Elephas maximus indicus: one gene and its partners. The protein of the gene in region 1 binds, or shares a complex with, the protein of each later gene. Links are inferred from orthologs where the notes say so. Each region holds a gene or a part of one and is shown on either strand. Other genes may lie near its edges.

What was found.
Region 2: KAT5 (region 1) and MORF4L2 share a complex: the UniProt entries of both Homo sapiens proteins name them as parts of the nuA4 histone acetyltransferase complex. The link is inferred for Elephas maximus indicus from reciprocal best matches to the Homo sapiens genes KAT5 and MORF4L2.
Region 3: KAT5 (region 1) and ANP32E share a complex: the UniProt entries of both Homo sapiens proteins name them as parts of the SWR1-like complex. The link is inferred for Elephas maximus indicus from reciprocal best matches to the Homo sapiens genes KAT5 and ANP32E.
Region 4: KAT5 (region 1) and EPC1 share a complex: the UniProt entries of both Homo sapiens proteins name them as parts of the nuA4 histone acetyltransferase complex. The link is inferred for Elephas maximus indicus from reciprocal best matches to the Homo sapiens genes KAT5 and EPC1.

The regions. Positions count from the first base shown.
Region 1 is NC_064825.1:128,857,941-128,864,932, reverse strand, and holds the start of KAT5 (histone acetyltransferase KAT5), read right to left. Parts: upstream 3,019-6,992; 5' UTR 2,790-3,018; coding exon 2,612-2,789; intron 2,286-2,611; coding exon 2,217-2,285; intron 2,127-2,216; coding exon 1,990-2,126; intron 1,701-1,989; coding exon 1,545-1,700; intron 1,456-1,544; coding exon 1,381-1,455; intron 1,273-1,380; coding exon 1,198-1,272; intron 903-1,197; coding exon 654-902; intron 573-653; coding exon 483-572; intron 1-482. UniProt on the Homo sapiens protein: Catalytic subunit of the NuA4 histone acetyltransferase complex, a multiprotein complex involved in transcriptional activation of select genes principally by acetylation of nucleosomal histones H2A and H4.
Region 2 is NC_064846.1:54,508,362-54,516,315, forward strand, and holds the start of MORF4L2 (mortality factor 4-like protein 2), read left to right. Parts: upstream 1-4,937; 5' UTR 4,938-5,028; intron 5,029-5,918; exon of another isoform or gene 5,919-6,112; intron 6,113-6,329; exon of another isoform or gene 6,330-6,494; intron 6,495-7,818; 5' UTR 7,819-7,908; intron 7,909-7,954. UniProt on the Homo sapiens protein: Component of the NuA4 histone acetyltransferase complex which is involved in transcriptional activation of select genes principally by acetylation of nucleosomal histone H4 and H2A.
Region 3 is NC_064821.1:184,387,905-184,394,981, forward strand, and holds the start of ANP32E (acidic leucine-rich nuclear phosphoprotein 32 family member E), read right to left. Parts: upstream 3,017-7,077; 5' UTR 2,693-3,016; coding exon 2,639-2,692; intron 2,490-2,638; exon of another isoform or gene 2,000-2,489; intron 1-1,999. UniProt on the Homo sapiens protein: Histone chaperone that specifically mediates the genome-wide removal of histone H2A.Z/H2AZ1 from the nucleosome: removes H2A.Z/H2AZ1 from its normal sites of deposition, especially from enhancer and insulator regions.
Region 4 is NC_064822.1:5,673,077-5,680,514, forward strand, and holds the start of EPC1 (enhancer of polycomb homolog 1), read right to left. Parts: upstream 2,947-7,438; 5' UTR 2,738-2,946; coding exon 2,585-2,737; intron 1-2,584. Other genes in the region: translation initiation factor IF-2-like, read left to right, coding at 2,947-3,297. UniProt on the Homo sapiens protein: Component of the NuA4 histone acetyltransferase (HAT) complex, a multiprotein complex involved in transcriptional activation of select genes principally by acetylation of nucleosomal histones H4 and H2A.

The DNA of each region.
Region 1 (6,992 bases):
GTGCCCCTGCTACCCCTACTGACCTTGTTTCCACCACCTAAACTCTGTCCCTTCTAAGAGCCTTGCACCTTCCTATCTTCCCTGCCTTTCAGCTTTTCACACACACCATCCTTGTACAGCAGGCCTGCCTTTCAGCATCTCACTGCTCAGAATCCTCTCACGTCAAAGATCACCACTGTGAAGCTTTGTGGACTACCTCCTTAGGGTCCTGGTAACCCACCCTTGGACTCATGACACTTGTCACTCTGGGATGTCACAGGCCATTGGCAGGACTTTCCCATGGGCCACGGGGTCTCAGCAGAGACTGTCTAGTTTCTGGTCATCCTAGTACATCCCAGCACTACTAGTACTCAATAAAAATGGGCTGAACCAACATGTTGGCCAGACTGGTGAGTGTTTTCCTAAGCAGGAAGAAACTGCTCAACTTCCTGTGTCCCAGGCCACCAGCTCCAAGGACACCCCACTGCTCCTCAGTTGCTGACCTTATTCTTGCGGCCATCAATCTCAAAAAAGGAGATGGTGCCCTTGCGGTAAATCTCGTTGCCTGGGGGGTGTCGCAGGTCGCACTTGGTCTGGGGAAGAAAGGAGGGTCAGAAGCAGGAGTGGGGGCAGGACGAGGTGCTGGGAGAGCAGCCTCCTGGGGCCCCTCATACCAAGTGACGCTGCAGACACTTGAGACTCCGGCCATACTTGAGGCAGAACTCGCAGAGATAGAGGACAGGCAACGTGGTGAGCTCTTGTGGGTACGGGGAGAAGTACCACGGCTTGAGGCGGTGCCGGCCCAGCTCAATGCACTCGATGTTTTTCATCCGGGTGACTATGTCGTCGTGACTCCGGTCGGACACCAGGCTACCAGTCATGCGTGGTGCCGATGGAATTCCATCTGAGCTGTCCTGGGAGTCCTGCCCAGGGCCAGTAGAAAACACCAGGTTACGAGAGATGACTCAAGCAGGACACTACAGCTTCCACAGCAACACTATAAAAAAGTACTATAATCCCACTTTCCAAACGAAGAAACTGAGACCCTGAAATCACCAAATGACTGGTCTGAAACATGCTCTACACCTGGCTGCAGATATCAGACACCACTGCCACCTAGCCCTCCCTTGTTTCTTTTTAAACTAGGCACTAAACTCCCCCTGCCCACATGCCCTCCCTTACCCCTAGCTTTCCTCTTCCTCTGCTCCCCAGACCCACCTCATCAGTGCCCAAACAATTTGATTTCCGCTTCCGTCCTGGCTGAGCGGCCACTGCCCTACGGGCTGATCCATTCTGCAAATGAAACAGTAGGAATAGAAGAGCCGAATGTGACATAACCTTAAAAGGGCTACCAAACGATAAAAGAGAGAAAAGGAAAAAGGGATAGTTTGGGGTACTCACCTGGGGAAAAACTGAGGCTGGGGCTGTCTCGCTGGGCACCGGAGTTGCTGGTGAAACCACCTCCACCTTCCGTTTCTGCAGAGAGAAACCAAGAAAGGTGGGTCAGAAGGTAGAGAACGTGGGACCTGAGAGTAAAGCAAGGTCCCTGGAATTGCTGAGGGTACCGTAGAGCGGTGATTGGGCTGCAGGCAGGAGCTGGAGGAGAGCGGCTGGTCGGGCTCGCCACCGGGGATGGCCTCCCGCTCCTTGGGCAGGTTGAAGCGGAGTGTGATCTGGACCGGGATTGGCAAGGTCTTCCCGCTGGCCTGGGCGGAGGCCGGCTGTAGAAATAGGTCCAGGGTCTTCCTCTGGGTTGCCATGGTGGTGGAATGGGGCAGGGGAGGAGGGGGCCCTCAGCACCAAGTGATCAAACCCCACCCTCTGCCCTCTCAAGGGCATAGAAATAGCCACTGGATTCTGGAAGCTATGACTGCAATGTGGCCCCGTCCTTTGCAGGCTGAAGCCAGGGTGAGAGGCTTACTGCCTCCTGCCCATCCAGGAGCCCCTGAGGCCAAGAGACAAGAGCAGTAGGAGGCAGGAGAGAAGAGGAGAAGCAGGTGACCTACTCACCACCTCTCTCTCTGGAGAGCCGGGGCGGGACCCAGGAAGCCCGTTCTTGGTGGGGGTCTTGGCCTCTTTCTTGGGAAACTGGATCTTCTTTAAGTCCAGCCGCTCGTGGGTCACCCATTCATCCAGACGTTTGTTGACTGCAGCAATGGGGATGGCTCAGGAAGGGATGCCAGAGGCTGCTCCCCAGCCCTACCCGCAGCCCCACCTCACCCGGTCCCAGAACTCACAGTCAATGTAGTGAACATAAAAAAGCTTCCGGCCACTGATGTCCTTCACGCTGAGGATCTCGGCCAGGGCTGCGGGAATAGCACAGGCAGGAGCCTTAGAGGGCCCGGCCACGAAGCTCCACCCTGCCACGACCTGAACTCCACCCCCAGCCCGGATCCCCTAGTCCCAGCACTTGGAAGCTCCCACCCAAGTCCCCTTTAGTCTCCAAATGGCACCCCTTCTCCAAGCCCCGCCCCGTCCATCTCAAGCAGCTACACGCCACGCCCCTCCTTCGGAGTGCCTGCGCCCCGCCCGCCCCAAGATTCCAGTGGCCCCTCCCCCTCCCGGGGGTTCGGTTGATCCGACCCGCCCCTCGCCCTCAGGTTGTTTAGCCCCGCCTCCCGACGTCACTCACGCCACTCATCCTCGTTGTCCTGGTTCCGCCGCAGAACGGGCAGGCGGCAGCCCTCGATTATCTCCCCCTGGGGAGACAGCGCGGCGCCAGGGTCGGCTACTGGGGGGCCTCGGGCCCTACCCACCTCCCCTGGCTCCCTCCGCCCCGCCCCAGGCACCGGACTCACCACCTCCGCCATCTTCCCTCCCTCCACTGCCACTTCCGGCTCCTCTGGGCGGCGTCACTTCCGGGGCTGAGGGAGCTGCAGGCCCGGGCTCCGCGAAGCCACCTGAGAAGCGAGATCCTTGAGGGATGCTACCGCCCGGCTGGAAGCAGGGAGCCGGCCCGTTCAGCTGGCTGGAGAAAGGGGCTTTCTAAGCCTCGGGCCGGCTCCTGGGTGGCCTCTCCATCCCGTGCCCAATGATTGGAGGAAAACTGAGTCCGTCACGTGACGCCCACCGGGTGCGACGCTGGTCATGTGGATGAGGCGCGGGTCACGTGGGACGAGTGTTTTGAGCTTTTACCTGTGGCCGTGCACGGGCGTCTCCTGGTGGCAGCAGGAGAAGTCGCGGAGAGTGAACTGCGCGTGCTCGGTGGGGGGCGGGGTCGGTGCGGCGGGGCGGGCCTGCAGGACAGAATAATACGTACTTTGGGAGGCTGGATGAGTGGGTGGGGCTCAAACTCTGCAGGGCCCGAATACCGGGCCAAGTTTAATATGCTTGAACCCATGGTTGCAGCGAGTGTGTCGGTCCATCTTGCTCGGGGTCTTCCTGTCTTTTGCTGACCGTCTACTAAGCATGGTGTCCTTCTTCAGGGACTGGTCCCTCCTGATAACACATCCAAAGTATGTGAAATGAAGCCTCGCTATCCTCCCTTCTAAGAATCATTTTCGCTGTGCTATCAAGACATTATTTTTTGGCAGTCCATAGTATGTTTAATTCTTCACGAACACCATAATTTAAAGGCATCAATTCTTCTTTGATCTTCCTTATTCATTGTCCAGCTTTATGCATGCCTGTGAGGTGATTGAAAATATGGCTTGGGTCATACTTACCCAGTGTCTTGGAGTCGACTGTGACTCATAGCGACCCTATAGGACAGGGTAGAACTGCCCCATAGAGTTTCCAAGGAGCGCCTAGGCAGATTCGAACTGCTGACCCTTTGGTTAGCAGCCGTAGCACTTAACCACTACGGCTTGGGCCAGGCACACCTTAATCCTTAAACTGGCATCTTTTTAACACTTTAAAGAGGTCTTTTTGCAGCATGAAGAAAGCAAGAGGTCATTAAAAAGGAAAGGAAGAAGACCAAAATGGATGTCAGAAGAGACTCTGAAACTTGAACATAGAGCAGCTAAAGCAAATGGAAGAAATGAATAGCTGAACAGAAGATTTTAAAGGGAGGCTGGAGAAGACAAAGGAAAGTATTATAATGAAGTGTGCAAAGACCTCAAGTTAGAAAATCAAAAGGGAAGAATATGCTCAGCATTTCTTAAGCTGAAAGAACTGAAGGAAAGAATTCAAGCCTTGAGTTGCAATATTGAAGGATTCTATGGGAAATATATTGAATGGTGCAGGAAGCATCAAAAAAGTTGGAAGAAGCATACAGAGTCACTATACCCAAAAGAATTGGTTGATGTTCAGCCATTTCAGAAGGTAGCAAATGGTCAAGAACTGATGGTACTGAAAAAAGTAGTCCAGGCTGCCTGAAGGCATTGGCGAAGGCTCCAGGAATTGACAGAATACCAATTGAGATGTTCTAACAGAAGGATGCAGTGCTGGAAGTGCGCGCTCATACATGCCAAGAAATTTGGAAGACAGCTACCTGGCCACCTGACTGGAAGAGATCCATATTTGTGCCCACTCCAAAGAATGGTGATCAAACAGAAGGTGGAAATTATCGAACAATATCATTAATATCACACACAAGTAAAATTTTGCTTTGATTTTGTCTATTAGGTTCTGATTTTTTAAATAATACATCTATTACCCTTTCATGGAAACCGTGGTAGCATAGTGGTTAAGTGCTACGGGTGCTAACGAAAAGGTCAGCTGTTCGAACCCACCAGGCATTCCTTGGGAACTATGGGGCAGTTCTACTTTGTCCTGTAGAGTCACTGTGAGTCAGAATTCATTTGACAGCAGCCGGTTGTGTTGTTGTTTTTTTTTTTCAATCCTTTTATACATCCAGCAAATACTAAGTGAGCCCTGCCATGTGCTAGGCACTATTCTCGGAACTTGGAATACATCAGTGAACAAAATAAAGATCCTGCCCTCATGGAGCTTACCTTCTTGGGGACTGAGAGGGAAAAGAGTGGTATAGATAGTAAATGATACACATAGTTAGAAAAGCAAATTTAGCGTGCTATGGGAAGCAAAATCAATGAGCAGGATACATGGGTAGGATACAGGTAGGCAGGTTACAATTTAAAATACGATGTGCAGGGGAGGCCTGGCTGGAGTGTATTATTTGAGCAGAGATTTAAAGGAACAAGAGGGTGAGTCATGCGTATACTTGGGGGGAAAGATGACATTGGACATCATTGGTCACTTGTCTCCCTTGAAACACTCTTTTCTTGGCTTCCAGAACGCCAGACTCTCCTCGTTTCCTTCGTAGTTCCCTGGCTGCTCATCGTCTTTATTGGGTTAAGTTCCTGTCTGTGACCTCTAAACATTCTGTTAAAGAAAATGCTGCCCTCCCCGCCTATTTAAACTTAACTCTCAGACCGTCACTGAAACTGGAAACTTGTGATAAAGGCAGTTTTGGGGAAAGTTTAAATAATTAGGTAAGTCATAACTAGCCTATAGAATGTGTGCAAACTTAATAAAAAAAACAGACATAGTAAGAGGTGGGGGTGGGGGAGTGGGTACTGTAACCTTGCTCACAGTGAGCGTTTTGGTTGAATATCTACTAGACAAGGGGTTGGCAAACTATGACAAATCCAATCCACTACAAACCAGGAGTTAAGAATAGTTTTTACGTTTTTAAATGGGGGGAAAAGTGAAGGCTATTTTGTCACACGTGAAAATTACATGAATTTCAAATTTCAGTGTCCGTAAATTGTCTTACTGGAACTCAGTCACACTCATTTGTTTACATTTTGCCTCTGACTTCTTTTGTGCTACAACTGAGTAGTTGCGTTTGAGATAGTAAGGCACACAAAGCCTAAAATGTTAGCTACCTAGCATTTACCAAAAACAGCAACACGACAACAAGCTCTTGTAACACCACCACACATCCCTTTACACAAAAAAATGTTTGCCAACCTGTTTTAGATTATTGTGCTTATATCTGTTTGACACGAAATAGATTCTTACCACGTATACTGTTCTGCGATCAGCTTGTTCACTCAGCAATATAAATTGAATGCTTGTCATTAAATATTCTCTAGTATTTTAATGGCCATATAATGTTTCCTCATTTAGAAACACCTTAGCTGCCATAACCAATTTCCTGTTGTTGGACATTCAAGTTGTGTCCAATTTCCTGCTACTACAACACTGCAAAGAGTGAGCATCTGTATACTTGCGAGTTTCCATGTATTCACCCCGGCCTGACTTACATTGAAGATGTTAATGGGGAATGACTATATCTGCATTCTAGAAAGACCACCCTGGTGGCTGTGTCCTTGGATTGGAGGGGCTAAGACAAGAACAGGATACCAAGCAGAAGACTGTTGAAATTGATTTTTCACTGGCTGATAACGGTCAGGAAATGTCTGTGCACACTACGTATGCGGTAAACACAGTTTCAGTTGCTGCCACTCCATGTTGACCTCCACACTCTCAATCCGATGGCCGTTCCTCAGTCTACTTATTAGTGACATTGGACATCATTGGTCACTCCTCTCCCTTGAAACACTCTTTTCTTGGCTTCCAGACGCCGGACCGTCCTCATTTCCTTCCTAGTTCCCCGGCTGCTCATCGTCTTACTGGATTCTCTTCCTGTCTCTGACCTCTAAACATTCTGTTAAAGAAAATGCTCCCCCTACCTGTCTCAACTTAACTCTTAGCCATTCACTGAAACTAAAAACTTGTGATAAAGACAGTTTCATTCGTTAGGCCATAGCATACGTGAATACTTAATAAAGCAAGTCAAACTGCCTCCTACCGGCTAAGTGAATGACAACCAATCATTTAAAATTTCCCTTTTGGGAAATTCCACAACAGTTTGTACTGTGTATAAGCTGGTCAAGACAGTTCACATGTGCCAGTTTTAGCCCTGGACTTCATCTTTTTATCCATATTCACTTCTTTGGTGATCCCCAAGTTCATGCCTAAATATCACCCATGGGCTGAGGCTTCTCAAATTTTTATTTACAACCCAGACCTCTCCTGAACTCCAGACTCTCGCTGCCCACTCAGGAGGTCTAAAAGGCATGTCCGTTATAAAGAAAATGTTCTAC
Region 2 (7,954 bases), on another chromosome or scaffold:
CTAGAAAAGAACAGATACCCCTAAAAGGATAAAGCTTCCTCGTGACTATTCTCATCTTTTGTTCTATCTGCCTTGGGCTAGCAAACCAGTCTGATCCAGACAAATTTGCTGAACTGGTTTTATGAAATCCCTTTGGAATGAGGCAGGTATAAACAGATAAACAAAAAAATCCTTAGTAAAGAAATACCATTTTGCTTAGCCTTAAAGTATTAGGTTTTGTTTTTGACTTTTAAGTTGACCAAACATTCTTTTTAAAATCATCTAATAAGCTAGTCAGAACCAAATGAGAGAATATATATATCGAATTAACCTTTAGAATGGACATTTCTCTCCTACCCACAGCCATGCGACGTGTGTTAGTTATCTAGTGCGGCTATAACAGAAATTTATTTCTTCACAATTTAAGAGGCTAGAAGTCTGAATTCAGGGCACCGGCTCTAGGGGAAGGTTGTCTCTCTCTCTGTTGGCTCGGGGAAGATATTTGTCTCAGCTTCCATAAGCCCCGTGTTCCTAGGTTCCTTGGAGATCCTCGCATGTGTTTCTGTCATCCCCACTTTATGCTTGCTTGCTTCTGTGTCTAACCTGCTCTTTATATACCTCAAAACTCATTAGGTTTAAGACAAGCCCTACACTGATATGGTCTCATGAACATAACAAAGAAAACCCTATTCCCAAATGGGATTACATCCAGAGGTATAGGGGTTAGGATTCCCACACATATTTGGGGTTGGGGGACACAATTCAATCCGTAACAGGACACTGGCATTCCTCCCCACCCTCCAGAACAGATCAACACTGCCTTCCAGACCTTGGAAGGCTCTCTAGGCAAGACAAGCAAGGCCAGCAGATACTGATGGGCAGGCTGCACACTACACAAGGGTGTCCAACTGAGAGAGCACAAGTTGGGGCAGAAATTCATCCTTTGGTGAAGACTGCAACATCGCAGAGAAAGAAAAGCATTTTTTAAAGTATTTCACTGGAGTGGATACCTTTTTGCAATTTATCTGGAGCCAGGAGGCAGGCACATGGTTCTAACTAGCACAAAGGTATTGTATGAGCTAATGGTGGCCTTGAAGATAAACACAGGGTGCTTGGAGCCATTGAGTGTCCTGTGAAGGCTGAGACCATAAATAGCTCTGTCTGGCCTTGGGCCTTGGAGCCAAACAAACATTAACCAAAGCTATCTTTCCTTTCCAGTTGAAAGGGACTGTGAAGACAGTTGTTCAGCTGTAAATTCAAAAGGAAGAAGAGTAAGTTCTATCTTCCGAGGATCTACTAAGAATCGGGAATCTGCTGAAGCTTTTTCCTACAAGTAAGTGGAGGGTGCCGGATTGTATTCACTTTTGAGAGGGTAACATGGCATAATGGGGAAAGCATGGGCTTTGGAGTCAGATGAAGGAGCCCTGGTTGCCCAGTGGTTAAGCACTCAGCCACCCGCTCTGCAGGAGGAAGATGTGGCAGTCTGCTTTGGTAAAGATTGTAGCCTTGGAAACCCTATGGGGCAGTTCTACTCTGTTCTATAGGGTTGCTATAAGTTGAAATTGACTTTATGGCACTGGGTGGGTAGGTTTAAAGTCAGACAGAGAAATCTGAATCTTTGTCATTTACTATCTGAGCAACTTCAGGTAAGTATTTAACTTCTCTGGGCTTCAGTTAGGATTCACTAAGATAACAGATATCAAGAGCTGAGCCTAGTGCTGCCTGGCACGTAGGAGGCATTCAGTTCCCATGCCCTTCTCTGCTACCACCCTGACTCCAAAGTTAACTCATGTCATTCACACTCTTGGCCTTGAAACTTCTCCCAGTAAAGCATAAAGATGGGTCTGCTAGACAGACCTACTGGAGCAAGAGTCAGGAGATGTGGGCCCTGGTGCCAGACACATCCTGTTATAGTACTTTGGGGAAGTTACTCCTCTCAGCTGACCACCTTAATAAAACAGAACACCCCTAACACCTCCGAAAGAAAAAAGCAGAGGAAATCACTTTTCTTGGGCACTTGCCATGAGGAGTGCACTGTGCTAGGCCCTTTTGTTGTTGAGGAAACCCTTGTGGCACAGTGGTTAAGTGCTATGGCTGCTAACCAAAAGGTCGGCAGTTCAAATCCACCAGGCGCTCCTTGGAAACCCTGTGGGGCAGTTCTACTCTGTCCTATAGGGTCGCTATGAGTCGGAATTGACTCGACAGCAATGGGTTTTGGTTTTTGTTGTTGTCGTTAGCTGCTGCCCAGTCATTTTCAACTCATAATGACCCCATGTGACAGAGTAGAACTGACTCATAAGGTTTCCTAGGCTGTCACTATGAATTGGAATCAACTAGACAGCAACCCGTTTGTTTTTTTTTTATCTTTACCAGACCAGATCGCTAAGTCTTTTCTCCTGTGGAGCTGCTGGGTCGGTTCATACCGCCAACCTTTCGGTTAGCAGCTGAGCACTTAACTGTGACCCCACCAGGTCTCCTTAGTCCCTTTTACATACTTTATATTCTCTAAATCAGTGCTATCCAATAGAACTTTCTATGATGGTGGGAATGTTGTATATCTGCACTGTCTAATACAGCCATTGGCTACTGTGACTGAGGAACTAAAGTTTTTAGCTAATTCATGTAAATTTAAGTAGCCACATGTAGCTAGCGGCTACAACACTGGATAGTACAGCTCCCTGGGGGACATAAACATTTAAGCGCTTGACTTCTATCCAAAAGGTTGGCTGTTCAAACCCACTCAGAGATGCCTTGGAAGACAGGCCTGGAGATCTGCTTCCGAAAGATCACAGCCTTGAAAACCCTACGCAGCAGTTCTAGTCTGCACACATGGGGTCGCCATGAGTCGGAATTGACTCGACAACAACAACAAAGATTATGAAGCACGAATATTTTTTACCATTTAATCTATGGTAAAACTGAGACTCAGAAAAGTTAAAGAACTTGTTGAAAGTCACTTAAGTATTAAGTAATTAAACCAGATTCAAAACGTAGGAGTAGAAAGCTTAGTAGGGTAATAAGGTTAGATATACCTAGTATTATCTAGGTTCCACCATTTACAAATTGTATGACTGAGTAAAAAAATATCTGGAACTCACTGTCATCATCTATAAAATGATGACAGACCTCTTGTTGAAATTAATGGGTATAGATCTATATAGTGGGGTCCATACTAGGCTTTCGAGAACTTTTATTCCCTCAGCACTATGATTCCTCCCTTACACATGGAAGAGATTCAGACATAAACTAAAAAAGAAACAACTTCAGGGTAGACAGAGCATTTGGGAAATACAAAAGCAAGAAGGGAAACACTCATGAGCTTTTATGTGATATCCAATTATAGAATGGAGATGGAGAAGGGTATAAAATCATCAAAATATCTCCATTTAATTGATCTGCTTCCCTGCCCTTCCTTGTCTCTCTAGTTAACATTAGCCAAAGTAAGGAAGAGAGAAAGTATTTGTAATGTGTTTTGAGGCCCAGAGACAAGCTATAAATTGAACAATAATGTTAAGGGCTAGGATTGAGAGGCAGATACAGTTCAAATCCTGGTTCCCATATCTGTTTGTGCACTTGGGGAAATAATTTGACACCTCCTGACGGCACTGGGTTTTTTTTTTTACACATTAGTTCCTAATCCAGAGTGTCTCAATAAGCATAAAAAAATTAATTGTTTATTATCTTGCGTTAAATTCTGTAGCACCCTCTAGTGGTATGTGCAAAATAAGCATTGCATTTCTGCCCTCCAAAGCGCTGGTTCTCAAATTTTAGTGTGCATCTGAATAACCTGGACAGCTTCTAATAATACAGATTGCCAGGCCCCACCCCAAGAATTTTTGATTCTGTAGGTTTGAAGTGAGGAGGCCTGGTGGCTCAGTGGTTGAGTGATTGGCTGCTAACCAAAAGGTCGGTGGTTTGAACCCACCAGCAGTTCTGCGGTAGAAAAGACCTGGCTATCTGCTCCTGTAAAGATTTCAGCCTGGTAAACGCTATGGGGGCAGTTCTGTCTTAAAGGTTCTCTATGGGTCAGAATCGACTCAACGGCAGACAACAGGGCTGAGTGGGGCCTGACAATCCGAATTTCTAACAACTTCCCAGGTGATGCTAAAGCTGCTAGTTCAGGAAACATACTTTGAGAACCACTGCTCTAAACGACCCCGGACCGACATACACACATAATGTATATATGATTGATAACTCAAAGAGGAATGATTTTTGTTGTTGGATTTTGATTTTGTAGTACCCACCTAAAAGGGATTTTATGAGGAATAAATGAGAATATCCATGTGAGGTCAACACCGCATCTAAAATATAGAAAGCATGCAAAAAACTGAGAATCACAGAACATAAATCATTTGCCCAGAGTCACAGGGCTATAAAGTGGTGACATAGAGATTAAAAGGTCTCTGGCTCCAAAGACATAATAAAGTTTAGCAGTACCACTGCACATACACACGTGTGATAAAATTGTCATGAGAAAAGATCAGTTTTCAATGCCAGATCCAAGTTTTACCTCAGAGTTTTTAATCTATCTTTACGGACTAAACAGCCCTCTGTGTACTGTTTTGGGGGGTTGTTAACATTTGAGAAGAAGGTGAACAGAAAGGGTAGAATCTTCATCAGCATCAGTGCCTAGTATCATTCATCACTTCCCTAAAAAAAGAAGGCATGGAAGAAAGAAGACAGAGGAATGAGGAAGGAAAAAAAAATTTTAAGGGATGAGGTAAGAAGGAAAGAAACAAGAAAAGCATTTGGATCTTGGGCCATGGTCCCCTGCCTATTAGGGCCATTTACAGAGGTTGGCTTCATTTTCCCCCTAGAAACGAAAGAAAGATATACTCACTGGAGATTGGAGAGTTCAGCAAATCAGAAACACGGGAGGACAAAATCCCATAATTCCAGGGACCAAATAGCCAATCCTTTGCTAGGATTTGGCGACATCTAGTGGCCGACTTGAGAGGTATAAACCTCATCCAGAGAACTTTCTGGAAAATTAATTGTGTGTGTACTCGCTTGAAGGGCACTGTGCTTGGTGGTCAGGACAAAAAGGTAAGAGTTCCTCAGCCGCCACAGAAATTTACGGTCCTTCGTGAAGGGAGAGGCAGTCGTATATTGATTATCCCAGCAGAAAATTATATTTGTACTAGGGGAATTGCGTGCAACTTTGGGGACGAGCGGGGCTAGGGGGCGGGCAGGGAGAAAGGGGTGGGAATGGGAGAGAGGGGCAGGGAGCAGGGAGCTGTCCTGAGAAGGGGGGAAAAGGGACGGGGGACACAATGGAGAGGGGGAAAGGGCGCGAAGGGGGGGAAGGGAGAGAAGAGTCGAGGGATGGGCGGGAGGCGGGGGAAGGTAGGGGGAAGGGCGGGCGGGGATGGGAGGAGGATATTGGGGAATATGAAAGGAGCTGCCCCTTGGAGTTGCTAATAGAGGAACGGGAGGGTTTGGCTCTTGTGCAATGGGGAGATGTGATTTAGAGCAGGATTTTGGCACCGAGCAAAACGTGGAAGGGTCTAAAATTGAGTCAATAGGAGAAACCAAAATACTTCATATAACAGAGGCCCTTTGTTATTATCCGCTTGACTTATTTTCCTTTTTTTTAGAACAATTTTCAAACATACAAAAGTAGAGAACAATTGCTATAATAAACACCCACACACTTATTACCTAAATTTAACATAGTGCAGCTCACCTATAGGTAAACACACACACACTCACACCAACCCCACTCAGGGACACACACCGTGCCCCAAAGCTAAGGGCGCAGGCTGGCGCACACCCCCAGGCCACGCGAGCTCGCCTGCGCGCGCGCGCACACACACAGGCCCCAACGACACGCGCCCGAGCCACCCGCCGCCTCCACTCACACGCATATTAAAAACACCCCCGCCTCCCCCCCCCGAGTTGCGCAAGAGGTTGGGGGGCGTGGCCCCAGGTTTGACCTCGCGCTTCCCCACCGGCGGGAACCTTAGCTCATTTCCGCCGTCCCGTTTCCGCAGGCCACGTAGACACTTCCTTTCCCAGTGTGGCGGGGGGGACCCATAATGCCTCTCTAAAGAAAAAAAAAAAACCTTCTGGTCAAGGGAACTCTGGGTCGTGAAAATAGGCCACGTGAACACTGTGCTCTATAGACTTATGACCCAAAGGCTGTCGCGCTTTTGGAGGGTGGGCTAAGAACCTAAGAGGGCGAATGTGATTGGCTGCAGCTCACAGTAAAGAAGGAAGGTGATTGGTTTGCTCCGAGCCTTAACCGTGAAGAAGCAGGTTACTAGCACCCGCCTTTACTGCGGCTAAGTGTCACTGCTTACGTGGTAGTCCTCGTCCAATCATTTGGTTATAGAACATTCTAAAACTTAGACAAGACGAATGTGATTGGCTGAAGGGCATAAGCCCGCCTTTAGGATGACGTGTCTGCCTATGGATATCAGTTGCCAGAGAAACCTGGCTTTACTATGGCGGTTGGAGGAACGGCAGTGATCACACGTCGGCTGTTGGGAAGAGCTGGATTCTCGTTTCAGGTTTCGGGGTGGGGGTGGGGAGGAAGGGTTGGTGATTTCCCTTTATCCTGTGTATGTATAAGGTATATATATACACATATACAGACAGAATCAGCTACTGGCTTTACAATCGGTCAGAGCTGGTTCAAATTCCTGCTCGCCAACGCCCAGCTCGGGCAAGGCTCCGATTCTTTCTGTATCTCGGTTTCCATGTTTGTAAAATGGTGATAATAATAGTATCTACCTCAGAGACGTGTACGAGGGTTAAGTATGATAGTGCGTATAAGGCGCTCAATACGAAGCCTGGCTCTTGTAGATATTATTATTACTATGGAGATAAAGCCTCACATAACAGAATGAGAAAATATGTATTATGTAAATTCGCTCATTATAGTGCCTTCCCTGCCCATCAACTTCCCTCGAAGAAATTAGAGATGTAAGAGGCGTAATTGTTATCGATGAAACAATACGCCGAGATTTGCTTCGGAATAGGATTGAAATTTTCCAAATTGAAAAGTAAAAAAAAAAAAAGATTGAAAACGAGAGCGAGCTGGAGATCAACCACATGCGATGAGTAGGCCTTGTTTGGTTTCTGATTTGAACACAACTGTAAAACGTTGTTTAAGATACATAGGGAAAATTTGATCACCGACTCGATGTTTTATGGCTTTTAAGAAATTTATATCATTTTTTAGGCGTTATAATGATACTGTGGTTATGGTTTTAAATTTTCTACCTTGTAGCGATATCGACTAAAATATTCACAGATTAAATAATATAATGTCTGGGATTGGCTTCGAAATACGTTGACGACTAGGATTTGCTTCAAAATAATTTCTGCGAAGGGGAGAGCGGAGAGGGCTGTAGATAAAACAAAATTGGCCTGAAGTTAAAAATCGTTTAAGCTGACTGTTATTACTCTGTCTATCTTAGTGTATGTTTGAAATGTTCCATAATGAAATATAAAAAATCAGCTATTTGGTGCTTAAAAAATTGGAGGGGGGGCAGTGGGTGGGGTTATAGATGAAACAAGATGGCCTTCAGTTGGTAATTGAAGCTGGGTGATAGATTCGTGTGGGTTGGTGATACTATTCTATCTAAATTTTTGTCCATTTGATTTTTTTTCCTTCATAAAATGGTTTTTAAATATTAGTTTGTTTAAAAAATAGGTTAAATGTACATGATTTGAAAATATAACCACAAGAAAGAAAAAAATATTTGTGCATATTTATCAGCTTTGGTGTTCTTTGTGTGTGATAAAATGCATTGATTGATGGAAAAGAAAACCGTGGTCTGATATCTTTTTATTTTATGTCCTTTCCTGTCCCCTTCTTTGACCTTCTAGGTCATCATCAGAAAAGCTAAGTTAGTTGCACAGTAAGGATCAGAAGATCTGATCCTGATTACAGAACCATCCCTCATTACAGAATCTTGGGTAAGTGCTTCCCTTCTCCTGGCCTCAGTCCTCAAACAAGATAATA
Region 3 (7,077 bases), on another chromosome or scaffold:
AAAATAAAACTTTGAAAAAGGACCCATGGTAAAAGCTGTTTTTGACCCTAATGGTGTTTGAGAATGATCCTCAACAGCAGGGCCCGTATTTATGCAGTGAAGGGACACCTGGGCTATTGGGAAAGGATTCCAGTAAGTTGTCCTAAAAGTTAGCAAGGAGAAGACAGGAAATAGTTTTATTCATTTTTTTCAGTTTTCAACTCCCTCATCTTTCATTGATAAATGCCATCAAACTCAAAAAAAAAAAAACAACCTTGTTACCTTTCTGGAACAGCCTAGCTTTTCGGTGTTATTTGTTCTAATAATGAGGCCAAACAGTATCACCCAGAATATTACATCCTTGACAAAATGTTATTTCTCCCTGCCATCCTGGTAGCATTTTTGTGGACTTTTCTCTATTCTTGGAGGGGAGAGGAGGGCTTGATCCCCCATTAGGTTACTGTTATAGCAACAAAACTTCCTGGTATGGGCCTAAAAGGACTGAATCTTAAGGAGGCAGGAGACCCTGCTCTATTTCCCAACAGCAAAAATATGTTTTAAGTATTTTGAGGGCTAAAAATTAGCAACACGGAATGCCACCTTCCCCATCTGAATATGACTTTGACGTAATTATTTCAGTGAGCAGAGAAAGCATCATCTCTCCCCTAGAGATGGAGAAACCAAGAGCCAGAGGCTATGGATGATTTGCCCAGGGTCACACAATTAGTATGTGGCAGAGCTGTGCCTCAACCCTAAGTCTTCTTACTCCCAGTCTAGCTGAGTGGTGGAAGGGTTGCTAGATTTGGTGTCAGAAACCAGTTCTACCACTTAAGTAAATCACTTCACTGCTCTAAGACTTTTTTTTTTTTTTTTGCTAATTTGGATTCTAGAACAATACAATCCACCTTACAAGTTTATCGGAAAGAGTGAAGTAAATAAAATGAAAAGTGCTTTGTAAACTGTAAAGAGCTTTACAAACGTAAGAGACTGTTATTATATCACGGCGGAGGAAGGAGAATTTGCAAAAAGGCACTCTCTCCTCCAAATCCCCAAAACGGGCAATGCTGCAAAGAAATTACTACGTAAAAAAATGGGAGGTGGGAGGCAAATCCATTTCTCCAACTCAAGACATAAAAAAGTATTCTAAATGTGTGCTTTTGAAAGACTGCATTCAAGTTTGATTTTGCTTTTCCCTGAAGCCCCTGAAGAGTAGATCCTAGAAAACTTCAAGTTTTCTCTGGGATGACCCTGATAGCAGCAACTATTTCCTCCTCCCCGCACCCTACCAATTTCAGGGAAAGAAAAAAAAAAGTACATAAATATCTTGTGTCCCACTCTGCACGCAGCAGCCCACCGGCCAGAATCCTACTCATCTTCTACGGTGCACAGGCACCACCTCACCCGTTAAAAATACATATCTCGCATATTCCAATTCTAGGGCTAACAGTATTTCAGGCGCTGCGCACCAGCAAGGCAATTAACACTTTCCCTTGAAACCTTAAGTCCGAGGCTCCTCGCGGGCCACAGTCCCCGCGCGCGCTCGGGCCGACTGGGAACCCTACATGGTGCGTGGACGCCCCAGGGAAAGGGGTGGTTTGCCGGGCCGCGTTCCCCTCGCGCCTCCGCCGGGGGCTGGGAGCGCTGGGTGAGGCCGAGGGGCGCCTTCGCAAAGGAGGCGGGAACACCTCCCGCCCGCCCCCCGATAGCTGACGACCCCGCCTCACGTGGCCCCTCCCAAGCCCGTCTCTTTAACTAAGGCGACAGTAACTAGAGCGCATCTCTGAGTTTCGTCGTGCCCATCTTTAAGGCACAAAACTACTACGACCCATTTGTTGAGTTTTGTGAACCCATCTCCGCGGATCAAATTCAGAGTTGCGGCCACTACGCCACTAGACACCGAATGTCGTTACATCGCGGTGTAAAAGCCGGGGGTGTCCTCCTCTCCTTTGGAGGGAAGAAGGGGATTCTTCCTCACGACCCCTCCCCACCTCCGGTCACTGCGACGAGTCCCCAAACTTACCCGCGGTCCGACTAGCCCGCGGCTGACCCAGATTCCTCCAGCCGGCGGCCGCCGCGCGCCCCATCCCGGGGGAATGGGCGCCGCCAGGAGCTGGCGGTCCGCGGACCCTGCGAGCGACCCCAGCCCTCGACCAGCGCGAAGTCAGGCGCCAACCGGCCTCGAGGTCGGGGCGAGGGTCTCTTGACCCCTCCGCCCTCGACCCCAAACGAGTTGGCAGCACTGCAGGAAAGTTGGACTAACTTCTCAGGCGGCGGCGCCTGCGGCAGGGGCGAGTGGACCGGGGGGTCGCGCCCACGCCGCCTGCCTCCAAGAAGAGGAAGGCGGGGAGCGACCGGGCAGAGGGGCCCCCACCACCTCGCTTCCCTGCCCCCACGAGGGCAGGAAGCCCAGCTCACCGAGAGTCGAAAGGGGCTAAGCCCCTACACACACACAAAAAGGCCCCTAGAAACTTAAACCCTTCGCCATTTTAAGAAAGAAGATTTTAATGATTTAAAACTTAAAATTAAACATTTCCTCCAGCCCTAACCCCAGATGGGGGTTAATTTCCTACCTCTCCCTACACACCCACTCGGACCCCTAGAAATTCGACCCTCCGAATATGGGGTTGGTGGGGAAGGGGAGGGGGCTGAGTCATCTCACCTCCTCCGGGGCTTTGTTCCTTAACTCCAGGTTAATCCTCTTCTTCATCTCCATGTCCTCCACCTCCTCTTCTGCCACTAGTCTCCTGCCTTCCCCTTTCCTGCCTTTCCCCACCACCCCCAACCCTAAAATTTAAAAAGGTTTGAAAATGAATGAAAAGAAACGCAAATATAACGCCCACCGCCACCAGATAGGTGTGGGGGGGGGGGAAGAGAATAGCAAATGGAGTCCAAGGAGTTGGGACTCTAACTCGGCTGCCCCCACCTCCTTGTCCACACACTCGCGCGCGCGCGCACACACACGCACACACACACTCACACACCCGCAGTTCCTTCCCCTTCAATGGCTGCTCGGAGACTGAGCCTCCATGACACGGCACCGCCAACCCCCTAGCCTACACTCCACCCACCTCCCGAACGTATTGGTTGCTTCTTCAGCATCACACTATTCCGTTGGGCTACGTAATTGTCTATCAGTCTTCAGGGCGGACCTGGACCAGAAACTCTGTGTCTATTGGATACGACCAAGCGCGCAGTTAACTCCGATAGGCCCAGGAGAGTGTCCATCCCAGAAAAATGGTTTTGAATCCCAATAGCCCCCCCCTTTTCTTTGTGTGGTTGGCGCGCTTTCCCCAGGCGCTGGGACGGTTTTGATGCCTGTTGGATTTGTTTTTTTGCTTTTCTGTTTTTAGTGTAAAAGGGAGGGAGAAAGCATCCTATCCCAAGCTACGACACCGATAATTCACCACACACGCACCGGCTCTTGGCCGTTTTAAAACACAGGCCCTGCTTTGCTGCCAAAGTGCACACACCAACGTGCACATCACATTAAAAGCATGCCTTCGTGGCACTGCCCTGCCGGGAACAGGCTTCCCACAGAGACTGATGTTCCGTGGTGCAGAACCAGGATATAGATGGTATTTTAAATTCCATCATGAGGGACTGTCTGATTTTGAAAGCAGTTGGGTGAATAAAACTACCTTGGAGAATTGTTACTGAGGTTAATTGTTGCTTTAATAAACACTGGGACCTTGGAAGTGAAAGAAAGCTGGCCTAATAAAAATCGAACATCGTTTCGCACAGAAATGGCTCTGCAATGCTTCTCCTAATTCCCTTTAGTTGGTTTCCACGGAAATCTGTAGGTAAAGTGTACTTTTAATGCGGAATATAAAAGAGTGGGATAACAATTGTTTTTTTCTTAAGGGTCTAATTTTTCTTAGTTCTTGCTTCAATTCTGTCCTTCTCATTCGCTTACACCCTTTTCAGGATAAACACCCAAAGAAGTTCCAGATGATTTGGGGAGGGAGGGCGGAAGTGATGAATTACCCCCAGGCCTCCCAGAGCTGGGTTTTTATTTGCAATTTTTCCAGTCTCTCAGGTTAGAGACCTTTGGCTTTCCATACACAGGTTCCTCACCACTCTACCACAGGCTGTCTTTCCCCACACAGAGACAGGCATTCCCTCAAATAGGTTTACATTTAAAATGTAAATATTTGGTATTTGGTGTGTTAAATACTTCAGGAGGAAAACAAAATGGTGGTTTTCTTTTTAATGACAAATGTTTCCTTTGAATTCCCTAAAAAGGAAATTTCGTGAAGGTGAAAACAGAGGCTCTTCTAAAGAAGTAGAGAAGGAGGGCTTTTTGGTATAAAATGACATCTCTGGAGGCCATTTGAAGAGTTAGTTAAGTTTTGTGTTTGTTTTAATGCAGGCGAAAAGAAGCCAAAATGATAGGAAAACTGAACCAAAATGAACTGCGGAACAGTTCAAGGAAGAGTTAAAAACCAAGGGAAGAAAAAAAGACCTAAAAGAAACCTGGAAGCAAATTTTAGTACCAGTCCTGAGTTCTGACCCGCCTGCCACTGCATTATCCTGTTTTCTGCAAATTATTTAGCTTCTCTGGTTCTGGAACAGAATCCAAAAGAGACTTCACGGAAGGAGATTGATATTTAGGAGCCATCCACATACAAATGATAGTTGAGACCATGAGAACAATTAAGATCTCCACAGAGAATGTATATAATAAAAAGACTATCAGGCCAAGGAGAGCAAAAACATGGTTGAGAAAAAAGAAGAAGAGGGGGGAGGTATTGTCTACCAAAGCAGACATTTATATTCAAAATGTAAACCAAAAAAACCCAAACTGGTTGCCATCAAGTCCATTCTGACTCATAGCAATCCTATAAGACAGAGTACAACCGCCCATAGGGTTTCCAAGGAGTGGAATTCCTGGTGGATCCAAACTGCCAACTTTTGTGTGTGTGTATGTGTGCTTTAAGTGAAAGTTTACAAGTCAGTCTCTCATACAAAAATTTATATACACCTGGCTATATACTCCTAGTTGCTCTCCCCCTAATGAGACAGCACACTCCTCTCCACCCTGTATTCCCTTGTCCATTCAGCCAGCTTCTGTCCCCCTCTGCCTTCTCATCTCCCTTCCAGACAGGAGCTGCCCACTTAGTCTTATGTGTCTACTGAGCCAAGAAGCTCACTTCTCACCAGTATCATTTTCTATCTTATAGTCCAGGCCAATCCTTGTATGAAGAGTTGGCTTTGGGAATGGTTCCAGTCTTGGGCTAATGGAAGGTCTGGGGACCATGACTTCCGGGGTCCTTCTAGTCTTAGACCATTCAGTCTGGTCTTTTTACGAGAATTTGAGATCTGCATCCCACTGCTCTCCTGCTCCCTCAGGGGTTCTCTGTTGTGTTCCCTGTCAGGGCAGTCATCTGTTGTAGCTGGGGACCATCTAGTTCTTCTGGTCTCAGGCTGATGTAGTCTCTGATTTTTGTGGCCCTTTCTGTCTCTTGGGCTAATAATTACCTTGTGTCTTTTGTGTTCTTCATTCTCCTTTGCTCCAGGTGGGTTAAGACCAATTGATGCATCTTAGAAGAACTGCCAACTTTTATTGAGAAAGAGGTGAATTAAAAAAAAAAGTTGTGGAAGCCAAGGAGTTTGAAGAAAGAGATGGTTATTGCAGTTAAATGGTAAGGCTTTTGTATTGGACCACATGGACAGAATGGGAAAGTATCCTGGAGATAATGTGGGAAAGGTTAAGTCTCTTTGTCCATTTGGATTTAGGTCTTCTTATTCATTTAAGGAGCCCTGGTGGTGTATTAGTTAAGAGCATGGCTGCTAACCAAAAGGCAGGCAGTTCAAATCCAACAGCCACTCCTTGGAAACCCTGTGGGACAGTTCTACTCTGTCCTGTAGGGTCACTAAGTGTAGGGATTGATTCAGTTTTTTTATTGTTTTGTTTATTCTTTTAAAGCTGTTTTAGTAACGTTTGTTGAAGAAATGGAGGTAAATATGTGTTTTAAATTCCCCATGTTTAATCGGAAGTTTCAAGGAATTTTTTAAATTTCTTTTGAGACAACTATTTATTATTCTATTTAACTTCAGCTCAATCTAGCCAATGACTTTGGCACAAAATGCCAAAAACAAAGTCTTAGTAATCAGAGTTGAATGTAATCCTACATTCAACTGTTGAAATATATTGAAGTTTGATAGAAGGTGTAAAATGGTCCATTTAATTAAGGTTTTCCCTGCGTAGTAATTTCAGCTATTTTGCCAAGCAGAAAGAGCAATTCAATACTTTATATTAGAATACATTATTTTAATATTATACTTTCTCATCAAATGATGAGTTTACTTTAAATTTTTTTATCGTGGTAAAAAATATGTAACAAAACAGTTGCCATTTCAACCATTTTTATGTGTACAATTCAGTGACATTAATTACATTCTCCATGTTGTGCAACCATCAGAGTTTACTTTTAATATGTCTTTAAAGAACTTGCTACAGTCACTAATGTAGACTTTACTCGCCTTTAAGCCAAATTTTCCCCCAAATGAACATATCTCTCACTTTAGACTGAGAGTCCATGAGAAGATGGGATTCATTGCACAGAAATTTAACCATGATACAAGTGAACTTTATTTCTGTGTGATGGCTAATAGGTCATGAGGGAGAGAAAAATACTGAATTTTTGCCTAGACTTGTGATGCCACTTGTAGGGTCCTTTGTTTATGTCTCAAAAGGAAGAAGAGTGACAACTCGTGAACATACCATTGGAGGAATGTAACCATTATGGAGGGTAAATACAGCATGAACCATAAAAAAGTACATACCCTAAATTAAAATCAAAATGAGATACCACTATGTATCTGTCAGAAAGGCTACTTTTTTTGTTGTTGTTTTTTTAACTAACAATACCGAATGCTGGCAAGAATGAGGGGCAACTGGAGCTCTCACACATTGCTCGTAGGAGTGAAGAACAGTACAACCACTATGGAAAATAGTTTGACAGTTTCATACAAAATTAAACATATACTAACATATGGCTTAGGAAGCCTGCTCTTAGGTATTTACTCAAAGACAATAAAAATGTATGTCCACTCAAAATAATTCTATTATGAAAACATTCTGCATCCCACTTTGAA
Region 4 (7,438 bases), on another chromosome or scaffold:
CAATGAATAAGAAAGATAAACGACTGATGCATCTGAATTCTGATGATGAAGAGGAGTGACTATACCATGGACTGCCAGGAGAATGAGTAAATCTGTCTTGGAAGAAGTACAGCCAGAATGCTCCTTAGAATCGAGGATGGCAACACTTGGTCTCATGTACTTTGGACACGTTATCAGGAGAGATCGATTAGTCTCCGGAGAAGGACACCATTCTCGGTAGAGGGTGAGTGAAAAAGAGGAAAATCCTCAATGAGATGGGCTGACACAGTGGCTGCAACAATGGGTTCAAACATGCCAACAACTGTGAGGATGGCGCAGAACCAGGCAGTGTTTGTTATACATTCTGTCACTATAGGTCGGAACCAACTTGACGGCATCTAACAACAACGTGCTTCTCTGGTCATACAGCTTCAGTTGGATGTAAAGTGGAACAAATTCTAAACAGATGATGAAAAGGATAGTGTTATGGAAAAAATGTCTTGTTGTTGCAGTTATGTGCCGTTGAGTCGGTTCCGACTCACAGAGGCCCTATATGACACAGAGTAGAACTGTCCGTAGGGTTTCCAAGAAGCAGTTGGTGGATCTGAACTGCTGCCCTTTTAGTTAACAACCAAGCTCTTAATCACTACACCACCAGGGAATGATATCTAGTGCACTATAAAATGTGGAAATTATTTCAGTGAGCAAAAATTACCTGTAAATTTAAGAAGCACTGATGCTTCAGTTAAACTTGGCTCTGATTTTAGATTGTAGCTCTTGGGACTGCTCAAAGTATTCCCAGAAACAAAACTAAACTTCTAAAGTGTACTGTAGTGCTACCCAGCTTTAATCAAGGGTCTGCCCTTGGCTGCAAAACAAAAACTAGAAATTAATTTCAAAGACCATGTAACACCAACACCCCATCTTGAAAATATTATCTGTAAAACTTAGAAACAAAAAACCAAGACAAGATTCTGCAGTCACAAGTACTTTAATTTTTAAAAACAAATCACTTATTTAAAAATAAACAAATGGCACCATTCTACTCTAAAGTTGATACAAGCCAAAAAAAAAAAAAAAAAGAGGTACTGTCTCATAGATAAGGTGCTGAAAGTCAGTACTGCACTAGACAATCTCAACTACTACATACACTTAGCGCTTAGCTTATCTTTAAAGTTAGATTTAAGACACTACCCAAAAGTAACATTTAACTGCCACAACTATTTTACTTTAAAAGGTTAAACAACCCAAATGGTTTAAACAGTTTTATTTTCAAAAACATTACAGAGCATAATTACTACATTTAAAATTCTTACAGTACCAAATGAAAGCATTACAATTTTCCACAACAAATTTGCAGCAGACAAATCCGCGACTCCTTGACTTCCTTGAACTGTCAATACACTGCGCCCTGTTTAAATGGCTGAAAACCAAGGTATGCAATTCCTTAGGATTAGAAGTCATCAAGTTACACTGTCAAGGATCTGGGGGAAATGAGAGGGACATTCTATTATCCTTGCGTCTGAACTCAACTTCCATAACACGGTAAAGCCACATATATGGCAAAATGTCTATTAGCTGTAAACAGTCATTTAAATACTGAAACCCACCCACTTCAGACATTTCAATCGCCTTATGTTAAGACGTCTGTGAACAAAGTGATTTAATTTTCAGCTCAGTTATGGATGAGAAATGACCCTCTTTCGAAATCCACATCTATGACATTTACTTTAAATCGGGTCTTTTCTCCCCTTAGGCTGAGACCAGAACGCAGGCAAACTTACATGTTACAGAAAAAATAACAAAGTTACAGCCTTTCGAAGAGCCACGTACCCCAAGCAAATCGGCAACATACTCTGAAAGATCAAAGAAAAAGTCAGGGGGAGCAGTTTATCACCCCTCCGACTAACTGGTACTGGAGAGGGACGGATGCGAAAGTCCCAGAAAGGGAATACTGCAAGTCGGTCAAACCTCCCAGGAAAGTAAGTCGTCGCGGCCGATGTGCAATACCCGCGACAGACCGACCTGCTGTCAACAGCACCGGCACTTCCGAGGCCCCCGCTGGCGGACGCGCGGCCTGAGCCCCACGAGCGCTGAAGGCACCAAACGCCCCGCGGTGGCAGGCCCTGCGCGCCCCGGCGGCGGCAGCGGCGCGAGGCCGAGGCGACCCCAGAGCGCCACCCAGCGGCCCGCCAAGAGGCCTGCAGGCAGGTCCTGCCCGGCTCCCAGCTCGCCGCACCCCACCGCCACCCAACCCGTTCCCCTCTCCGGATGCGAAGGGCCCAACCCAAGAACTAAAGACCACAAAATGGCTGCCGGCAGCTTCGTCACGTGACCCCTTTGTGCCTTTCGGGTCCCCCGGACTCCGCGGGACCTGGGTACGAGTGGCCAGTGTCGGCGGCTAGCCTTAGAGGAGGCCCTAGCGGGCCGCGGCGGCCGGGGGTCGAGGCCGGGGGAGGCGGGGTAAGGGCCCGGCCGGCGACTGAGTGTCGGCGGGGAGGAGAAGATGGCGGCCATTTTGTGTGATTATGGTGCTCCGTCGCCGCCGCAGGCAGCAGAGGGAGCGGGGCCTGGCGGTGGGTCGGACAGGGGAGTTAACACGTACCGACTCCTCTTCCTTCTCCATTCCGGTGGGCATCTGCGGCACGGCCCGGTTTATCGAGGCGTATTCGTGCAGGTCGGGCAGATCCTCACAGCGGAAAACCGGCAGCGGCTTCGAGGCGTCTAGCGCCCGCGCCCGAAACGACAGTTTACTCATCTCAGGCGCAGCAGATACCTCTCCGCTCTGGGGAAACGGCCCCGGCCAGCGGGATCATGGAGAACCGGGGGTTCGGTCCCCACTCGCCTACCGCTGCCGGGGACTTGAGGGGCGGAGCGCAGAGCCCGCCGTCCGGGCACTAACAGCAGCCGGGAGGGTGGGAGTCTGTGCCGCTCCGCTCCTCTCTCTCTCGCTCTCTTCAATACGCCATGGCCAACATGGCGGACATTAAAACTCCACTGTGCGCTCTTCAGCCAACCCCAGCCATTCCCCACACTGCATCGCGCAGCGGCGCGGGCACGCGGGGGGGGGCGCGGGCTCGAGACCGGGCGCCGGCACGGAGCGCGCGTCCCGCCAACCCCCGGCTCCCGCCGGCCTCGCTCCCCGCGCTCGCTGCTCGCGGCCCCCGCCCTCCGCGGCCCGGGAGGCGGACAGGGCCGCCGCGCGCCGGGACAGCCGGACGTCGGGACGCTCAGGTGTCCGAGCCGACTTCTCGCTGCTCAGCCCCCTTTCGCGCACACGCTGTCTCGCGCCCGCGCCCTCCTATCGCTGCTTCCTGAGGGGTGAAGGTGCGGAAAACCGGTGTCCGCCCGCTCCCCGGCTTTTCGAAGGGCAACGGGGAGAGAAATGCGTGTGGCTGTTTTTGCCCTGCTCCCTCCGGGGCTGCGCCCGCGCGGGGTCCGGGGGCTCGGGCACCTGTCATCGCAGCAGCCCGGGCGCTTTCCCCGACGACGGCCGGCGCGAGGGCTGGGCGATGCCCAGGGCTATGCCCAAGCCACTTTCGGTGGGGCTTGAAAGGCGTTTCAGAAGTGATGCGCACCGATGCTAAGCTGGGTGGGTGAATGCATATCTTAATTATCCCAGCCTTTTATGTCTTTAAAACAAAAATGCACACGAAATTAGGAGCAAAAAGTTACTTTGGATGAACGTGTACTAGCAATTATTTTTACGTCTAATGAAACTTTGGGTTATATTATTTGATAGGCTCCCCATAAAATCATTGGTCAGTTTCCCACCCACTGGGCTCATAAAAACGGTAAGCATCCTACACTTGTCCCAAGTGGGTTTTTTTTCTTTTTTTTAATCCTGCATATTAACTTTTTTGTCGTAATTAGAGCAAACGGAATGGTTATTGGACACTAATCTCCAGGAAAAATTTTAAGCGAGATCTTCAAACTTTTCAAGTCTATATAGGGAGCCTTGGTGGTGCAGTGGTTAAAGCGCTCGGCTGCGAACCTGACCGTCAAGGCTTGGAACCCACCAGCTGCTCTGCAGGAGAAAGATGTGGCAGTCTGCTTCCCCAAAGATTTACAGCCTTGGAAACCCTATAGGGCAGTTGTACTCTGTCCTAATAGGGTTGCTATGAGTGTGAAATCGATTCGACGGCAGTGGACTTTTGCGTATTCTTTATATTCAGCTCCCAGTTTTCTGTGCCGAAAGATAATGCTGCTTCAACATAGCCATGGGCTCACACTTATTCTTATCATTTGTTCTCTGAAAAAGTTTATAAAATCGAATCATATAAAGACTTGTAGTGTTTCTGCCCTGTCCCCCCCCCCCCAAATAGGAATAACTGAATTATTAGAAGAAATGTAGATGGCTGTGATAGATGGCTGACATTTGGTTTTTATTACACCACATGGCAAAAACCAGTATCCAGAGACCTCTTTCCAGTGGAATGTTGTTAAAATCAAAAAAGATTGCTGGGGTGGATTTGATACGTTTGGCAACAAAGTTTCAAGTGTTAGCCAAAATACAAAAGTGTTTTTTTAAATCTGCTTTTCCCCTGGAGGCCACATAGTAAAAATAATCAGTGTTCTTAAATGCTGGGTTGGAATGAACTGTTATTAGCTTAGGGCACATAGGCACACTGCTATTTTCCAGGTTGCTTTAGCTACACTCCATGAAGTGGGGAGAAGACAAGGAGAGACATAGATTGCAGTTCTCCAAAATTATTCTAAAATTACAATAGTAACAACTCACCCTGTGAGGCAGGACTTTCACCTGCATTTCTTAAACCAAGACTGCATTCACTCAGTGAGTATTTAGGGAGCGCTTACTGCCTCCCAAGTATGCTGCTGATTGCTTGGCACTCACAGGGCTCCAGTAAGAGCCTGCACAGTGGGGGAGAAAGACCTGTGAATGACAATTGCCACACTATGTGGTAAATGTTATGAGGAAAGCCGAGGCCATCATGGGAACAGGCTGCAGTGGCACCCAAATCATGGGGAGTGGCTCCAATGAAAGCATTCAGGGAAGGCTTTTGGAGAAGATAATATCTGAGAAAAATTTTAGGATAAGTATGCGTTAACCTTGCCAAAAAAGAAAAAATGAGGAGAAGAAAGGTATCTTAGGCAAGGGAAGCAGCATCTGTAAAGGCTCAGGGTCACAAGAGCATGTCAAAGTCTGGGAACCTCAAGAATTGCCACCAGCACTGGGAATGGAATGTTGTTGTGTGCAGTCCAGTCGGTTCCCGCCTCATAGAGACTGTATAGGACAGAGCAGAACTGCCCGCAGAGGGTTTCCAAGATGCGAGGTTTAACGACTCAGAAAATACTGGCTGAAATTAGTATAATATTCCTCTCCAGCTTAAAATCCTAATAGTAGAAGTCACAATTGGAAGACTTTATAGAACAAAATAGGATCTTAAGTCATGAGCAAGCCAAGGAAATGAATAATTTCTTTTACTTTCATTAAAATAATTATCTAAGTTCCTTATTCTCTAGAAAGTCTAGATTTGCCCTGCACAAAGGTTCAGAGATACGCTTACAATTTCAGCTGCCTTTTTTTCTCCTTTTTTTCTCCTTGCAGATAATACACCTGCTAAGAGATACCTGTTTTTGTATCGGTTCTCCATCCAGTTTCTCAATGCCCTGGATTTTTAACTCCCAGATTCTACTGGGTTCCCAAGGAGACAAAGGCTGGAGTCCCAAGGACCTCATGAGTTCAGTTCACTTCCCTCTCTCCTAAGGAAGAGGAGTGCAGCAATGAAGGCCCAGGTTTAATTTTCTTCAGCTTCCTTTATCCTGGGACTCCCTGGGTAGTGCAAACAGTTAAGCAAGCACTGGACTAACAGAAAGGTTGGTAATTCGAACCCACCCAGAGTGCCTCAAAAGAAAGGCCTGTCCATCTGCTTCTGAAAAATCACAGCCTTGAAAACCCTACAGAATGTAGTTCTACTCTGCACACATGGGATCACCATGAGTCCAAATCAACTCGACAACAAAGGGTTTAGTTGAGTTTTTTGTTTGTTTGTTTCCTGTATCCCACGGAACAATTTCTTACACTTGAACTTTCTTTTCTATTCCTAACCTGTAAGTTACCTTTTTCTAAATGTACCAAACAAAAGTGATGTGAAATTCTAAACATTGCAAAAAGAAAAAAGTATATTACTGCAAAACTGAACTAATATTTCCTCAAAGGGAAACTCTTGTTTGGTTGGGAAGGGATCTGCAGTATTTAAAAATAGCTTTATTTCATGCCACAAATATTTATTGAATAACTAAGCAACACACAGTGCTATCGTTTCGGAAATACAAATAAGATACTAGTAAAGAGATACCTAGATAACCAAATGCAGTGCTGTAGGGGTTCAGAAAAGGGAGCTGTTGGTTCCAGCTGGGTTCATTAGACTTCACAGACAAGGTGACATACGATTTGGTTTTGAAGGATGGCAGCTGGACATGGGAATGAAGTGGTAGAAGAAAGGGTATTCGTGGGAGGAAGAAACTGTATGAACAAGAGAGTGGGAGGAGGCAACTGCCAGGTAGGTTTGAGGATGTGAAGGTTTACTCTGGCCAGCATTCAGTGGGTGACAAGGACAACTCTCCAGGTATGAGGTAAAACTGCTAAGAAGTTGGGTGGAGGGAATATGAGTAGACAGTAAAGAAACGTAAGTTTTTATGGTGATAATAATTACTTATAATAGCCTCACCCTTGAAATGTGATTTGTTTCAAATACCAAATTTCTGTTAAAAAAAAAAAAAAAAACTTACAATGTGTCAAATGCAAGTACGCTGCTGCTGTATATAATAAACCTAAAATATGGCTCTAAATATTAATTTATGCCCAGTAGGTTATATCCATCCCCTAAATCCTATTATTTTTTCTTTGAAAATGGTTCTAGGATTTGACTCTACGTATTTCCATGCCCACTGTCTTAAACACAGACCATGCTCTCATCACTTCACACCTAGAAACAACCTCCAATCCAATTCCTATTTCATTCATTCATTCCTTCAATAAACCTTTCTTAAAGTGTTTGTTTGTAGGCAACTATGACTAGTGGTAACCAGTAGTGACTGGTAGAGGCTGTGGGTTCTGGGGATATGAGCAAACACACTGTGCCCTTGGGGTTTTACAGCAGAATGCCTGCCACCAAATCCGGGTACCAAAATTTCTACTTCCACTCTGTATCCTCCTTTCTCAAGTCATAGACGTATAATTTCTCTTTGTTTTGCTCATTAAATAAAATGTAAAATCCTTTGGTGTGGTTGTTAAGGCCTCACATAATTTTGCCTCACTCTCCCAAACTTTCTCCCAAACCGACATCTTTGTCATTATTGTCCCAGACAGTCCCTTCGCTTTGACCTGGTAAGTCTCATCACTGTCTTCAAAATTCATCGAGTCTCTTCTTGCCTCCAGGTTTTTATTCATTTCTTTCTCCCTATCCTCCCCCTCTCTCTTCAGATTGCAGTCTAC